Linked DNA regions of Caenorhabditis elegans. The protein of the gene in region 3 purifies or fractionates together with the protein of the main gene of each other region. This does not show direct contact. Each region holds a gene or a part of one and is shown on either strand. Other genes may lie near its edges.

Region 1 (7,596 bases), on a different chromosome or scaffold from region 3:
CACTGAAAATTTAACAAGAAATCGTTGTATTTTAGAAAAAAGGAGAAATTTCAACTTTTCTAAAAATCGCCAAATTTTTCGTAAATTTTTAAAAACCGACACATAATTCGTCTTCAACTCACCGAGACCTTTCAAATAACCCCCAACATGCCTATATTCCGCCTACTTTGAAAATTTCGGGACCCCACCACGAAAGCCCCGGGGGGTACTGTAGTTTTCGCGTCGGGACCCAAAGTATATCAAACCTAGGCAATATGGGTGTCATTTTGAAATTCAAAACGTGTTGAACACGAAAATCAGTGTAATAAAGGTCTCGAAGCGAAAATAGGAAAATAAAAATAATTTTGAAATTATTTCAAAAAGTTTTTTTTTTTCGAAAATTCATAACTTTGTCAATTTTTGAGATTTCCAGCTAATTTTTGTCTTTAAATTTGTAAAATTACCTTAATAACCCAGGAAAAATAAATCCAGCTCAAACCCCTGCAAAACTACAGTATCCCAGTAGTTTTCGTGGCGGGACCCAATTTTTCACATTTTCATGCCAAATACTGTTTATTTTTACACAAAAATATAAAGGTAATAGCGGGGGATAAATTACAGACAAATTTTCAGGAGAAAATCAAAAAAAAATTATAAATCGGGAATTTTAGCGGGTCAGAAATGGGCGGAGCTTAGGGCGACGGGGGCGGGAGAGCAAAGCAGGAAAATATCGGAAATAAATTATAATTTTTGGTATATTTTTTTCTTTTCAGCTTATTTTTACAAAAAAATTGAAAATTGAGATCAATGTGCGAAATTAAAGGTGCAAAAGGGGGGCGGGGCAGGGCGGGGTTACTGTAGATGGTGGGCGGGGTCAGTTGAGAGCCCGGCTTACGAATTCGACGAGTCGTTTGGCATACTGAAAAAAATTGAGATTAGAAGTTTTTTTAATTTTTCAGAAAAAAAAAAGTTTTTTTTTGAAAATTTTGTATTTTCGAAAAAAAAACCATTTTTCGCGTCGAGACCCATTTCTGTAGATTCTCATTTTTAAAATTGAATTCAGCTCACCGAGACGTTTCAAATGACCCCCAACATGCCTATATTCCGCCGACTTTGAGATTTTTGGGTCCCACCACGAAAGGGTTACTGTAGTTTTCGTGGCGAGACCCAAAAAGTGTAGAAATTGACGGAAAATCGTCAAAATGGGGTCAAATTGAACCTCTCAGTGTGTTGAGTGAAAAAATTGGACTGAAAATTGAAAATTCAGTTGAATTTTCGAAAAAAACTGAGAAATTTCAAATTTTTCCGAAAATCGTCAATTTTCGGGATTTTTTTTTCAATTTTTTGTAAATTTTTTAAAGTCGGCATTAAATTTGAATTCAGCTCACCGAACCCATTCAAATGACCTCCAACATGCCTATATTCCGCCGACTTTGAGAATTTCGGGTCCCACCACGAAAGGGGTACTGTAGTTTTCGTGGCAGGACCCAAAATGTGTCAAAAATGGCGGAAAAAAGCCGATATTGGGGTTACATTGAAGCTCTCAGTGTGCTGGAAAAGAAAATTACACTACAAATCAAAAAAATTAAGAAATTTCCAAAAAAATCTCAATTTTTCTCCAAAAATCCTCAAAATTTCGGGATTTTTTCCATTTTTTTTTGCAATTCCGCAAATCCGCACCTGTTCCGGTTTAACAGTGCTAATATTCTCGGCATCTGAGCCATATTTCACAGTTTTCGCGGCCGTCGCACTGCGTTTCTTGATGCCGTAGTAGGTGAGAATATCGACGAGCCCAATAAAATAGATCAAATTTTTCTCAAAATCCGCGGGACTTGCGATGGCGTAAAATTCATCATCGAGGTCGGGACCGCCCGAAACTCCGGGAAATGCGCCGCCCGTTGACGGGATCGGCGAGTCTGGGGGCGTCGGGGCGAGCTCGTCGCCCGATTCTTCACTGTTTTGTTCTACGGGACGATTGGCGGCTTCTTGGGCGGCACGTTCGCAGTCGTGGATACCTGGAATAATTTTTTTTTAATTTTTGGAACAGTTTTAAAATTCTGAAAAATCGAAATTCTTGAAAACAACTACTGTAATATTTGAATTCAGCTCACCAAGACCTTTCAAATGACCCCCAACATGCCTAGGTTGCGTCAATTTTGAGTTTCGACACAGCTGAAACCATAGCTACAGTACCCAGCGTGGCGAGACCCAAAAACTCGAAATTGGCGGAACCTGGGCATGATGGGGGTCATTTTGAAGGTACTGGCGAGCTGAATTCAAATTTTTTAAAATTAGCGTGGAAAATTGAAAATTCGAAAAAAATTCTTTTTTTTTGGAAATTTTCAAAAAAAAATTTTCTCTCAAAATTTAATTTTTTCAAAAGATTTCTAAATATTTTGACATTAAAATCGAATTCAGCTCATCAAGATCTTTCAAATGACCCCCAACACGCCTAGGCTGCGTCAATTTCGAGTTTCGACACAGCTGAAGCCATAGCTACAGTACCCCGCGTGGCGAGACCCAAATTCTCGAAATTCGTCGGAACCTAGGCATGATGGGGGTCATTTTAACGGTATTGGTGAGCTGAATTAAAATTTTTTGAAATTAGTTAAGAAAAGTGAAATTCGAAAAAAATTCTTTTTTTTTTGGAAATTTTCAACAAAATTTTTTTAACTCAAAATTTCATTCTCAAAGTATTATTTAATTAATCGAATTCAGCTCATCAAGATCTTTCAAATGACCCCCACCACGCCTTGGCTCCGTCAATTTCGAGTTTCGACACAGCTGAAACCATAGCTACAGTACCCCGCGTGGCGAGACCCAAAAACTCAAAATTGGCGGAACCTAGGCATGAAGGGGGTCATTTTGAAGGTCCTGGTGAGCTGAATTCAGATTTTTGGAAATTATTCTGAAATATGGAACTTTGAAAAAATAATCTAGAAAATTTCCAAAAAAAACATTTTCTCGAAATTTTAAGAATTATTGATTTTTCCGAAATTTTGCATTTTTCCGGTATTTTGTACCGTACCAACTAGCAGCGAATAATCCATCAAATGCATTCTCGTGAGCCATTCCGTATCACTAGTGAGCATCTCAATGAGCAGTTTTCCGGCCTCTGGCGGCAGGTTAAGCTTCCAGTTTTGTTCCAGAAAATCGTTATCTTTCAGTGTTGGGAGATCTTTGGCTTTTTCCTTATCCGACGCCGCACGGGATACTGTAGATCCTTTAAGGTCGAATTTTGTATGGACACCGTACTTTCGGCCGAACACGTTGCGCATTACGATCAGGTATGTCTCTGAGCCCTCGATTGTTAGTCTGAAAATATTGCAAAACATTGCAAAAAGAGATTGAATAAAATTTAGGTAGAAAAAATCTAAATTCCAAAAAAAAATTTTTTTTTTGAATTCAATTTCTAAAAATAATTTTTTTTTCGAAAATTTATGAATTTTTTTTCGTAAAATTTGTATTCCGCTCGCTCAGACCTTCACAATGACTCCCATATCCGCTAGGTTCGCCGATTTTGGGTCCCGCCGCGAAAACTGGGTCCCGACACGAAGGGTACTGTAGTTTTCGCGGCGAGACCCAAAATTGACGGAGCCTAGCCGATATGGGGGCCATTTTGAAGCTCTCGGTGAGCTGAGTTCGAAAGTATGAAAATTTCAATAAAAATTTAAAAATTTCCAAAAAAAAAAAATTTTTTTTCAAAAATTCATTTTCTTAAAAAAAAAAATTTTCGAGTTGTTTAAATTTTCCGCGTCAAATTCGTATTCAGCTCACCGAGAGCTTTCAAATGACTCCCATATCGACTAAGTTCCGGCAATTCTGGGTCCCGCCGCGAAAACTGGGTCCCGACAAGAAGGGTACTGTAGTTTTCGCGGCGGGACCCAAAATTGGCGGAACCTAGCCGATATGGGGGTCATTTTAAAGCTCTCGGTGAGCTGAGTTCAAAAATATAAACATTTTAGTGAAAACTTAGAATTTTGCAGAAAAAATTTCAAAGTTTCAAAATTGTTTCTTAAAAAAATTTTTTTTTTCAAAATTTATCGATTTTTCCTGAATTTTTGGTGTCAAATTGAAGCCCACGGCGAGCTGAATTCGACTTTTTACCTATAAAGTCCCAAATATTGCGGCAAAAGGGTTTTTCCTTGCTTTTCGACGACATATTGATGATAATTCCGGAGTACTGAGTGGAGCTCGGCGACCGCTTCGGAGTCCATTGACTGAAATTTTGAAAATTTTTTTTTTTTTTGAAATTTCGGGTAGTTTTGGTTGAAAATTTGAAATTTTTAGTTGAAAAACGTAATTTTTCGCATTTTTCGCTTCGAGACCCAATTTTTTCACATTTTCTGATGATATTGGAATTCAGCACACTGAAATCTGCGTTTTTAGGCCTAATTTTCACGTTTTTACGACCTAAAATTCACGTTTTTAGGGCTAAAATCCAAGTTTCTAGGCTTAAAAATCAAGGTTTTAGGCTTTAATTTGCGTTTTTAGCACTACAATTTACGTTTTTAGACCCAAAATGTATGTTTTTAGGCCTAAAAGTTACATTTTTAGGCCTAAAATTCACGGTTTTAGGCCTAAAATTTACATTTTTAGGCTTAAAATTTACGTTTTTAGGCTTAAAATTTACGTTTTCAGGCCTAAAATTTAGGTTTTTAGGCTTAAAATTTAAGTTTTTAGGCTTAAAATTCACGGTTTCACACTTAAAATTTAAGTTTTTAGGCCTAAAATTTACGTTTTTAGGCCTAAAATTCACGTTTTTAGGGCTAAATTTTACGTTTTTAGGCCTAAAATTCACGTTTTTAGGCTTAAAATTCACGGTTTTAGGCTTAAAATTCACGGTTTTAGGCTTAAAATTCACGTTTTTAAGCTTAAAATTTACGTTTTTATGCCTAAAATTTACGTTTTTATGCCTAAAATTTACATTTTTAGGACTAAAATTCACGTTTTTAGGGCTAAATTTTACGTTTTTAGGCCAAAATTTGCGTTTTAGGGCAAAATTCACACTTTGAAGCCGAATTTTCGCATTTTTTCGGTCAAAATCCTACGATTTTCTCGATTTCTCCACACACAAACCTTGATCACAAACTTCTTATCATACGATATAAAGAATCTCGGCGTGGAATCCTTTGCCGAGCCATCCAACAAGTCGGGCTCCGGCTCGTATGACGTCAGCGAGCGTAGATATTCGAAATTGTCGACACCAAATTGCTCACGAAGGTTACGGAACACATTTGGACAGTATTCTTTGACTTTGTAGTGTGACGGCATAATATCTTTGTTGAAATTGTGATTATCGATTTTTACTTTCGAATATGCCTGAAAAATCGGATTTTTTATGAAAAATCAGTGCGAAATTTGAATTTCCCGCGCAAAATTGACCTATTTTCGCATTTTTTCGAAATTTTTGACTACGGTAGCACTGATTTCAGCTGTGTCCTACAATTTTTGGTTTTTTCGTCGTTTTTCTTCCGATTTTTCTCAAATTTTCACTCGTCTAGGCCAATTTTTTGTGATTTTTTCAAATTTCCACCTGCCTTGAAGTCATCTGGCATTAGAAGCCCTGGCGGAGGGACATGAAGCAGCTGATCCACCGTATGATTGATTCCCCACATGAAAACCGACAAGACAGGCTCTTTGGCGCGGAAAAGCTTCCATTTTGGCACCAAAATCTTGCCTTTTTTCTTCGATAGGACCTTTGTCTTCTTTTTTGTCGACATGCCGAGTTTTGTTGGCGGAAAACTGCAAAAAAATGCAAAAAATGATTTTTTTAAAAGAATTTCAGAGGATTTTTCAGCTGAAACTAAAAGGAAAATTGAGATTTCAAGTTAAAAATCGTTTTTATCTCAAAAAACAGAGCGGAAATCCATTTTTTCGCATAAAAATCGATAAAAATTAAAAATTAAACATAAAATCATTGTCCGAGAGGAGTACACGAGGTGTTCCCTTCGAGACCCAAGGAACAAATAAAGGCATGCGCCTTTAATGGATTACGGTTGAAAGATTTTGTTTTTTGGTTTTTATTGGATTTTAATGGTATCTAATGGATTTTTATCGATGTTTCAAGAGAAAAATCAAGAAAATTAAAACAAAATTAAGGAAAACAAATAAAAATTAAAATTTACACACGAAAAATGAGCAAAAACTAGAAAATGCTCATTTCTAAGATGGAAAAGCCAGAGAAAAGAGCACAAAGTTCTATGTTTTGAGAAAAACGAGAAAAAAAACCATCGAAAAACTGGTTTCCTCACAAAATTCGTATACAAAACAGTATAAAAACAAAGTTTTTCGCGAAATTTTCAAGCTATGCGCCTTTAAGCCTACAGTAATCAAATTTTTCGGGTTTTTGTTGAATTTTAATGCAAAAACGAATAAAATTGCATCGAAAAAGCCAAAAAATGCTGAAAAATCAACTATAACTCAGAAAAACTGAGAAAAACTGGGCAAAATTTAATTTTTTAAAGATTCCTTGAAAATTTTCCGAGCTATGCGCCTTTAAGCCTACCGTAATCAAATTTTTCGGGTTTTTGTTGAATTTTAATGCAAACACGAATAAAATTGCATCGAAAAAGGCAAAAAACGATGGAAAATCATCTGAAATTCAGAAAAAATTGAGAAAAACTGAGCAAAACTAAATTTTCCAAAGGTTCCTCGAAAATTTTTCAAGCTATGCGCCTTTAAGCCTACCGTACCGCTTTTTTAAATCGATTTTTCAATTTAAAACTTATTTTTCCGGTCAAAAAACCATAAAAACCACAAAAATCAATAAATTTAAAGCTTTTCACAAAACGGGGTGCCTCGGGGTTGGTGCCTCCGGGTGCACACAACACTGCAAAATATTGACGAAAAATGTGAAAAACGAGCGCGGGTGCCTCCCCGCTGTGTGTGTGTGCGCATAAACCGTCTGCGTCTCCACACTTTTAGCACGCTAAGTCGTGCTCTCTCGCACCGCCCAGCCGCCCGCCAGCCACTGGCCAAGTCGATACTCTCTCATCGTCTGTGTCTCTCGGTCTCTCTCTCTCTCTCTCTGGGGAGAGAAAGAGAGTGAAGAGAACGCAGAGAAAATGTGTATGTGTGAGTTTGGTGGAAATTTATTCAAATCGAATCTTCCCTTATTTACGAGGAATACTTGGAAAAAAAAACTAGTTTTGAAACGGAAATTTGATGATGACGCAAGCCATGCGCCTTTAAATTTTAGCACGTTTTGAGGCCAAAAAGCACGAGAACTGGAAACATTGTGCAAGAAAAAAAAAACTAACAAAATTTTTGAGAAATAATTTTTTTATAAATAATTTTTTTTCCAAAAAAAATTTCAAAAATGATTAAAACCGAATTTTTCGTGAAAATTCGAATTTGTCACGCTTAGACCTTCAAAATGACCCCAATATCGGCTATATTACGGTGAAATTTACGAAAATCGAAAACATTTGGGTCCCGCCACGAAAACCTACTGGGTTACTGTAGTTTTGTGTTTTTTTTTGCGGCGAAATGATTTTTCTCATATTTTCAGTAAAATTTCCAAATTTTTGAGACTAAAACCAATTTTAAAACTTGAAAATTAACAAAGTTATGGATTTTCGAAAATTTTCGATTTTTTTCCAAAAAATTCTACAT
Region 2 (5,532 bases), on a different chromosome or scaffold from region 3:
GTATAAAATACCAACGACATCTAGAAGGAAATTTGGAAAAGATAGGGATCGTTTGCCAGAGAAGTCGTCTTCTGATAGAGGAAGAGATGTTGGTTTTTATTATTTATATTGTTTTAGCTTAAAATTTCCCGATTACATGTTTTCAAAATCAAAATTTACAGAAACACCTCGACACTCCCACCAAAAAACGTGTAAACCAGTCTCCTCCATCGCGGAAAGCAGCTCCATCGCCTGCTAAAAAGCCAGCCATATCCACGTCAACACCAGCGGTCGTTGTTCCTCCGAAGCCAAAGCGAGATCCCGAAGAGGAGTTATCAGACGGCGAGATTCTATCAACTGACGAGGAGGATAATTAAATTAATTTTTTACTTCACGTTTTCGTTATTAAAATTTTCAGAATTTATTCATTCATTTTTGTTGCTGTTTCATTTGAATAACACAGCAAGATTTTGAGGCCAGAAAGGATCTCTTGTTTAACAAAAATAAATTTTTTGTCATTATCGCTTGACTTCAATTCATGTAAGTGAAATGTTCTTCATTTTCAGGTATACACACAAATACAAAAATCAGCGGGTTCATGTTGATTCGAAGTCAAACATAAATAGAGTAGAAGGGGGAAAATAAATTAAAAAAGTTTTGAATGGGATTGGGGGAGCGAGATAGAGTTGATCGAATGATCCAGCAATTGATCAAAAATCGTTGATATTGATCTCGAACGTCGAATGGGGTTTGTTTTCGGTATTTCCAGAGCTCGCAGGAGTATTGACCTGAGTGACGACTTCACTGACAAGCTTCTCCTCTCTCTCCTTATCAACACGATCCGCCACAATAATTCCACCCTTGTAAAGTGGCTTCATGGGACTGTAGGCTCGAGCGTCACTGATCGAGATTAGCTGTCGTTGAGCAGGAATCACACGAGCTGGATTCTGTAGGCGGTGCAATGGCTTCGTGTCCTTTTCTGGAGCCTTTTCTTTCCTGAAATAATTGTAAGTTAATTTGGAAATCTTGGTTTTTTAATTTTTATGACAAAAAAAACGAATTCTACTTTTCCTAGACACTCATTCCAAACTTACTTGGATTTTCCTGGTTGATCAACCTCCATTTTCTCATCTTCAGCAGCTGGTGCTGTTCCTGAAGTGGACGATGATGATGGGGCAGCAGCAGCACTAGAAGCGGAAGCTGCAGCTTCTCGTCTTTTTTTCTCCTCAGCGATCAGCTTCTTTGACGCATTCTTCTTTCCGGTGATGGACAGAACAACAGTCTCAATCTTTTTGACATCCTTATCCTTCTTTGATTCGGCTCGTGGTGGATAGGCAAACTTCTGACTATTGGCATGGCAGATGTAGTCAAGTACTGGAATCTTCAGATTCTCGTTCATCATCACAAGGCATGATGGCTTAGCAGCAAGGGCGATGAAGAAATGCATCGAGTGCCAGAACCATCCGTGAAGGAAGCACATCATTCCGACCATTGATCCCATATCTGGCTGCTTGTCAGAATTTTGCATTGTGACCGCAGCGTTCTGCCCTCCGATGTCGAGAAGTCCTTGAGCAATAATTGCTCCAAATTTGACAAGAGAGTCCTCGTTCTTCTCTCCGATCTGACAAACATTTATTGAAAAACTTGATTGTTTTCTTATAGAGTTACCTTTTTGAGCAATTGCTTACGGAAACCGTTCACCTTGGGACAAGTGTAGTCTGTCTGCTGGCACATGATGAGAGCAAGTGAAAGAAGTGCTCCTTTACGAACGAAACCTTCCTTATCAGAAATCATTGGCTCAATCAGAGCAATAGCTTCCTGAAAAACAATTCATTATATCAAACCCCGGTTTCAGAAAAAAGTATCTTACCATGTTTCCTGTTCCAGCACAAGCAATTCCCAGTGCCATAGCTGCTCCGTATCTGACATGTCCATTGAAATGTTCGGTGAGCATGGCCACGTAGGATAAGCAGGTTGATGGATCCTTGGAGAGAACGAATCCGATACCAATTGTAGCGTATCTCTTGACATCCAAATTTGGATCGGTGGCTACTTTCTCGAGAAGACGGCGTACTACATCTGGAGATCCGGTTCCGGCGTAAGCCATCGACAGCATACAGATTCCAGTGGAACGGAGCATTGGATTGCTCTTAGCTCCGATTGCTTCTTTGATGTAAGGCTCAGCATCTCCTTGGAGTCCGAATGCGGCACAGGCAAGTCCAGTTCGGATACCACGTTGAGTTTTGTCATGCTGTGTGTCAACAGTGTATTGCTTGAGCTCATTGAACACCTCTTGATTCAGATGTCCAGCCATGATAAGGCCCATGGCGATTCCTGCGGATTCTCCGGAAACTGCTTCATCACGTTGGAGAACTTCCCGAACTTTCTCGTAATTCGAAACAGAAGACGATCCAAGTCCAGCAACTCCAAATCCAAGACAAGCTCCGTGTCTCACTGGCTCGTTTTCGGCGGTTTTGAGCCACTGAGCCAGAGTGCTCATGGCAGTTGCATCTCCGTGTTTGGCGTGAATCAATCCATATGCCAGCATTGCTCCTCCCTCTTTAAATCCAAATCCTTCGACAGATTCCTTTGGCAAATATGGCTCAAGTACCTTCATTGCAGACGATTCTTGTCCGTGATGAATGAGTCCAAGTGAAGCGACCGCATTGAACTTGTTCCAGTTCGTAGCTTTGGAAACCCAGTTCAAGTTGTTACGGAGGAAATCGTCACAAGTAGTTCCATATTGCATAAGACCATTTGAGATGAGAAGAGCATTGTGGGCAGAGGCTGTTCGAATGTTCTCCTTGATCTCTTCCATTAGAACAGAATCAGTGTGATTATGACGGACAAAGAAGTCGAGGTAAGCCTTGACAGTTTCATGACCTTTGAGAATTGAATGAATCTTTTCCATCGACTTCTCATCACGAGCATCCTGCTGTTGGAAACGTTTCAAAACTCGATCGAGGAATCCTTGACTCGCTGTTTCATATAAATCAAATGCGATCTGATATGCACGAGTGCTGAGAGACTTCGCGATCAAACTCGTAATCGTGTCAGCAGCGGCCTCGGCGTTATCCGTGAGCACGTAACACTGAAAATGTTTATTTTGTAATTTTACTTCGATATTTGTATAAATCATACCTCGCAAATCTTGGACATGTCCGGCGATGGGCACTTCAAGTACGTCTTGATGACTGTATCGATAACTTGGAATCGGAATGAACGATCGAACGCGCCATTGACAACACGGTTGAGCGTTTCGACAAGTGTAGCTGCACAAAAAAGAATGACGTTTCAGCTTAGTTATTATTGACTTACTCTGATTCTTGATGGTCAAATCTGCAGGCATCGCGCTAATGGCCCTGTCGATCATAGCCAGATTGGTCGTCTCAAATCCTAACGAGATGACAAACCATATCTCTCGTTTATCCAGATTTCTAGCAACAATTCGGTCGATCAAATCTCGGAGTTTCTGAGGAATTCCAGATCCTTGCTTGCTCAGCGTCTTGTACGTGTCAATGGCCGTCTCGATGATCTTGTTAACATATTCTGCGTCGTTTCCAAGACCGGTTCTTGTAGCAGGAACGACGTTGAAATCACCACGAAGAGCAAACTCCAAAGCACGTTCATACTGCTCCAAGCAGAAATAAACTTTGGAGACGAGCAGTGCAGCGGATGAATGCTCTGGGAACGTGTTGTTGTCAAGGAGCTGCTCTACAGCTGGAAGGGCGTCAGCGACCTCAAACCATGTGTTCACAAGAACATCCCAATCGTTAAATGCTTTGAGAACGAGCACTTTGTCGGTCACTGCTGATTTCGGTGACTCGAGAACACGAATGAATGCGGCTGAAAATGAACAATTCACAACGTTTCTTGATAGATATTAGTTTTGATACCTGCGTTTGAAGCGCCTCCTGGCTGAGATCTCCATCTGTTCAACAATGTCAACATCTGAAAGAAATCAAAATTAAAAACAATCCGAAATGAGAGCAGCTAGGAGAAGATAGTTGCGAAGCATAGTTTATTATAAAATGTTTTTCTAGGTTATCAGAAAAACAGCTTTCTCGTCTTAAAAGACAAATTAGAAAACGTCTAAAAATAAATCAGGCGTTTTAGAAAATCATAAAATTACTCAAACACCAACAATGGATGAACCGAACGAAAAGAATGATTGCGAATGACAAATTTCGTCCAAAAACACATACATTTTCAGATAAAAGCTGACAATTTCGCGGTTTCCCGCTGTGGTCAGAATTGTCATCCTCCGCGATGTGCGTCAACTAATCGATAATTGCGCCAGCACATGGGTGTTGGCGCATTTTCTTCAAAGTTGTTTTCTTATTTTTAGACAATATTTTTCCCAGCAATTCCGATAAAAATAGCATATTTTAATTTTTAAAATCAGATAAAAGTGTATTGGTGTCTAGTTTGACCGCTCTAATGCTTAATTTTTCACTGATCGTCTCAAAGCTATGCGGTGGTTACTGTATTAAAGGCTCATTGCACATAGTTATGACATTGGTTTCAGTCTGACTTAGTTTTTGTAGTTTTCAGAGGAACATTTCCGAATTTTCTAGAACTTTCTATATCTTCGAAAAGCTTACCTTTCTGCGTGTTGGATATTTTCGGCCGAACTAATCAATAAAAGTTTATTGAATAATTTTCTTTTTCCTTTGAAAAACTAGTTTACCAATATATTCAATTAAAATTTTACGTTTTTAGGCGTTTTATGTTTCCTGGTTCAACATGGACAGTTATTGTAGAACAAATCGCCGAATACGAAGAGGTTATTGATCCAAAAGCGTTTTTTGATAAGGTAGTTATTGTAATTTGGAATATTGTAATTGAAAGAAAAATTCAGATTATCAGTCTTTGGAAGGAATATCCAAACGCTATCAGTAACAGAATTACAACTTCAGTTTCAGTGGATACAGATTCAGATTTATGGAATGAAGTTTTAAGAACATTTGAAACACATTACAAATTTTGCCCGAGAGATTGCAGCGAAATAGCTATTACGAAAATCATACACAAGGATCTCGCTAATAATAAATTCTCAGATAATGCGTTTGAAGTTTCTTACTATGAAGGTTTGTTTCGAAGTTAGTCTTCTTTTGAAATGATGTTTTTGTTTTCAGAAGAACTCCTTGTACGATTCTACCCAATTACTCTCGATGGAATGCAACACCCACATTTCGAGAGCCCGTATTCAATTGCCATTAAAATCCCAACAGATACATCCATTCAACTTCAGTTTTTGAAGCAAGCTAATTCCTCTCAAGAACATTTTGAATTTATGAAGAAACAAGCATTCAAACAATTGTACACTTGGTTGAAAGGAATTGATCTTTCAAAGTGAGAACGCTATGATTTAACAAAGTCTAAACGTTTATTGCAGATCATCTCGAAAGACAAATTCTCTACTCGACAAAGAGTCCTACATCAAGACATATCGTCATATTCGAGAGGATTATGGCAGAGGAATGATCAAAGGATGGACAGAAAACTCTAATCCACAAAAATCAATTTTCGAGGATTGTGGGATTGCTTCAT
Region 3 (3,814 bases):
AATGTCCCAAGAGATGGCCAGAATGATAGTACATGTGGTACGAGAACCACGCCCAAATGACAGCTGAGATGAAATAGGTTACACAACGATCGATGTAGGTTCGACCAGTTGTTGGAGTACGGTAGAAGTAATCTGGAATTGGCTTATCCCCCTTCGAGATGGTACCGCGGTAGTCTCCATCATAGGTGTGCAATTCTGGATTCTCCGAAGCTCCCATCTTTCCTCCAACTGGAACATTTGGACCAACAGCATCAGATCCCCAAGCAAATCGATTTCTAGAATAAAAAATAAATCTATACTATTCGGAAAGAAAATTTACCGAACAAAAGTCAGACGAGATGGGGAATTGACGAGTCCTCGATTGCGGAGGTGCTGCAGAGCCAACTGAGCAACGAATTTGTTCCCCAACATGGTCAGAACCTGAATAAATTCTGCGAATATATATAATAATAAAATATCATCAGAATAGATAATTATCGGTCAGAAACCTTAGAGGTAACAGTTTAAAAAAATTGCATCAAATTATATTATTCAATAACATCAACAAAACAACAAAATAAAAGCAGTAACAAAGATGATAGGGTTGCATGGGAGAGATTGAGATATTTGTTCAAAACTTCAAAAACCTTAGTAAGGATAAAATTGGGGCTTCGAATTTTTTTGCAACCTTTGAAAAACGAATAATAGTAATCAGAGGAAGAAACGACGACGACTGGTTTCCATTTCGTGTCTCTGAAATTTTTAATAATTTTCATTCAATTAATTTTAAATAAATCCATACCTTGAGGACCCATTCGAATTCTCCCCACTTTGCGTCGAAAGTACCCTTCTGTAGCCACTTAAGTCTTAATGTGAATCGAGGACCCAACTCCAGAAGCGCTGCTTTTGAACCTTCCTTTTTGAATTCGTATCTGAAATTTTTAGATATTCGATTGAAATAAACATGATTCACCTACCTATGATGTCTGAAAAAGATGTAATCTCTCTGATTGTGGAATGTTACAACTCTGCGTCCAGTGAATTTTGGATCGTGTGGAAAGAGACAAGCAAGCATTCGAGCGATGCTGAAAATATCTGATAAATTGAGTGATGTACGATATTAAACGCACTTGTGTCCAAGACGTGTGTTGAAATTGTTGAGAATCACTTCCGGGAAATGAGATGTCGACTCACCGAATTTCTGAAATTTGAATTTTATTCTTTATTTGAATTTTTCTGATTTTTCAAGGTAAGTTACATAAAATAGTTTTAATGATTTTAAGCAATACATAAAGAAGTTATCAAAATAACAAACCTTCAAATCCTGTGTGAATGTTAGACTATTGATTTTGAAATACGCAGTAGGTCCTTCAGGCAAATGACAGAAAATAATTCCATTTGGCTTCTTTCTATCTTCGTGTACAACAAGCAAATCAGTGAACTCTCTTTCTTTAGCCTGTTCGATGATTGTCTTGAGCAATACGTTCTTTCTTGTGAATATTTCAGAGTTTGGAATACATTTTTGAAGTTCGAAACAGAATTTGAAGGTTGTCTGAAAATATGGTAAATCAATGCTTTGAATATTTTAGAAGTGAAACTTACGATTTTAGCTTTTGGAGTCATTGTGATCATTACTTTTGGAGATGTTTCTCTGTTGAAATATGGTGCAAACTCGTCGTTGGCCTCGTCGTGCTCAACTTCGTCATCTTCTTCATTTACCATCGTCGCATCATACTCCCGCATACTTTCAATAGTTTTTGGAACTTCTTTTTGTGGAGCACTTTCTCCCAGTTCATCTCGAATCTGAGCTCTTTCTCCCTGTCTGGCTCTTTTGTCCTTTCTCAATGCTCTTTTCAATGCTTTTCCACGTTGACTTTTTGGCAGATGTTTGAAGTCGTCTTTTGTTTTTGTGGCTGTAGCCTTAGACGCTTCATACTTTTCCAGTAACTCTTGAAGCTTCTCATCGGTCAATTCTAGTTCTTGTTTGATTTCTTTCTTCACAACTTTCTTCTTCTTTTTCGGTGGCTCATCTTCATCTGAATCCACCTCATCTGGCATGTCTTCGGCTTGTTCAAAACCATCTTCATCGACGTCACCAGTAACTTCTTCTTCGACAAAATCAATCATCGACTCTTCTTTCTTTGACTTCTTGGACTTTTTTGGAGCCATCTGAAACAAAGTACGAGCATTTTCAACAAGGCATCAAAAATATACATAAATATATATAAACTGGATATTGAACCCAAGCATAGCGAATAATCAAGTTAAAAATTAATAAGAATATTTATACTGTTTGAAAAATTGGCAAATGAGGTAATCATCGAGGAATGCAATAGCTTACATGTACAGCTTCCCGTAATAATTTAGAAATTAAGTAAGATATAGTGGTAACTAATACTGATATGAACAAGAAAAATTGTTATAGTTCATCGTCGAAATGAACACTTGAGAGAAGTGGCCGTATCTTGGCCATTTCTAGATCCGTTTTAGCGTCGACTCGTTTACACCCGGATGAAGAAAATGCTTTGGAAGATTCAGGGAAGTATTGTAGAGAATTAAGAACTCGTTCGACAAAATCCACGTTGGACACCAGATCTCCTCTTCCTCGTTTTCGAAGATAAGCACCAACGCAACTTCTGACATGTTCTCGTTGTAACGGTAGAAATGGAACGAAATGATCGATAAGATGATTTGAGATGAGCTCGCTCATCTGTAAGCCACCTTTCTCGTTGTATGAGAAGTTCATAAGTTCTCGTTCGAAAGCTTCCAAGCGGAGTTGTTCACGTGGATAGCCACTTTCGTACTGTTCTTTTGTTATTCTTGCTATTTCTCCTCCACCTTTATTGCTTAGTAGAATGAAGATGCTTCTTCGAAAATCCACGCCAGAAATTGTCGAATAATAGTCGAGGAACGGTTTAATTGCGCCTAGCAACTGCTCTGGTAGTTTATCAGCCTCATCGAAAATGAATATTGATCGTTGACATTTTTGTACAGTTGTTAGAATCCGATTTCTTAATTCAACTTGATACTCTTCCAGTTTATTTTTGTCTGGAAAATCATTGGTCGCCACGATATGCTGGACAAAAGTACTGCGGAGTCCAAGCCTGGAATTAGAAATTATTGTTTTTCAACTAAAAATTTAACAAATTCCGAACCTGAACGTATTGTTTGCTATAATTTCAGCGACATAGTTCTTTCCTGAGCCTGTGTAACCGTGAAACGAAAGAACCAGTGGTTTTCGGGGATTTTCATTGTACCAATGAGATTTTATGGAATTTACAACGACGTCCTTTACCAAATGTTGGCCAAACAGTAGATTTGCAATATCCGCGTCCAGTGCTTAAATTAAGAATAATTGAATTCAGTGAAAAGGTGGAAAATATCTTACTGTGATAATTGAAATTTACGTCAGGTTCATGACAGCATTCATATAAGTAACACTTTAAACGATCCTTAAGACCCCAAAACGCTCCGGCCGATATCGCGATAGTCGTGCCTGAAAAAACCGAATATAATTAAAAATTCGACTTCTTCTCACCGGAATCTTTAATCTTACCGGTAATCACGCTTATCAATTCCGTGTTGACAAAGCACAAATGGAAAAGAAGGAGAAGAACATAATCAAGTTTCATCCACCTGAAAATTGATATTACGCTCGAGTAAAGGACACGAAAAATAAAAATAGAAGTTTTGTTTAATTCCAGGAATTGAAACTATAGTTTTATACATGAATTTGATAAAATTATAATAAAATTAAGGCAAAAATTTTTTTTTTGCAAACGGGCAAAAATATCCGTGCATTTTTATGTGGCGCTGTTTGCAGATTTGTACACCG

What was found. The genes of interacting proteins can lie anywhere in the genome.
Region 1: the proteins of F44G4.1 (region 3) and ppk-2 fractionate together in Caenorhabditis elegans (co-fractionation; one large-scale study listed by BioGRID). This does not show direct contact.
Region 2: the proteins of F44G4.1 (region 3) and rpn-2 fractionate together in Caenorhabditis elegans (co-fractionation; one large-scale study listed by BioGRID). This does not show direct contact.

Annotation. Positions count from the first base shown.
Region 1 is NC_003281.10:2,100,423-2,108,018, reverse strand, and holds ppk-2 (1-phosphatidylinositol-5-phosphate 4-kinase), read right to left. Parts: upstream 5,725-7,596; 5' UTR 5,703-5,724; coding exon 5,520-5,702; intron 5,302-5,519; coding exon 5,059-5,301; intron 4,200-5,058; coding exon 4,087-4,199; intron 3,295-4,086; coding exon 3,008-3,294; intron 1,995-3,007; coding exon 1,660-1,994; intron 899-1,659; coding exon 854-898; 3' UTR 522-853; downstream 1-521.
Region 2 is NC_003281.10:6,197,584-6,203,115, reverse strand, and holds rpn-2 (26S proteasome non-ATPase regulatory subunit 1), read right to left. Parts: upstream 3,937-5,532; 5' UTR 3,931-3,936; coding exon 3,876-3,930; intron 3,826-3,875; coding exon 3,298-3,825; intron 3,252-3,297; coding exon 3,121-3,251; intron 3,071-3,120; coding exon 1,850-3,070; intron 1,798-1,849; coding exon 1,648-1,797; intron 1,601-1,647; coding exon 1,074-1,600; coding exon of another isoform or gene 1,070-1,073; exon of another isoform or gene 976-1,069; coding exon 690-975; 3' UTR 522-689; downstream 1-521. Other genes in the region: sna-3 (NADAR domain-containing protein), read left to right, coding at 1-88, 162-356; C23G10.7 (putative tRNA (uracil-O(2)-)-methyltransferase), read left to right, coding at 4,709-4,795, 4,841-5,069, 5,118-5,334, 5,378-5,532. UniProt on the Caenorhabditis elegans protein: Acts as a regulatory subunit of the 26 proteasome which is involved in the ATP-dependent degradation of ubiquitinated proteins.
Region 3 is NC_003280.10:8,992,970-8,996,783, reverse strand, and holds F44G4.1 (Brix domain-containing protein F44G4.1), read right to left. Parts: upstream 2,149-3,814; coding exon 1,582-2,148; intron 1,532-1,581; coding exon 1,295-1,531; intron 1,181-1,294; coding exon 1,110-1,180; intron 1,065-1,109; coding exon 957-1,064; intron 912-956; coding exon 782-911; intron 733-781; coding exon 691-732; 3' UTR 515-690; downstream 1-514. Other genes in the region: ndub-2 (putative NADH dehydrogenase [ubiquinone] 1 beta subcomplex subunit 2, mitochondrial), read right to left, coding at 1-275, 320-411; ooc-5 (Torsin-like protein), read right to left, coding at 2,399-3,083, 3,135-3,318, 3,368-3,475, 3,518-3,611.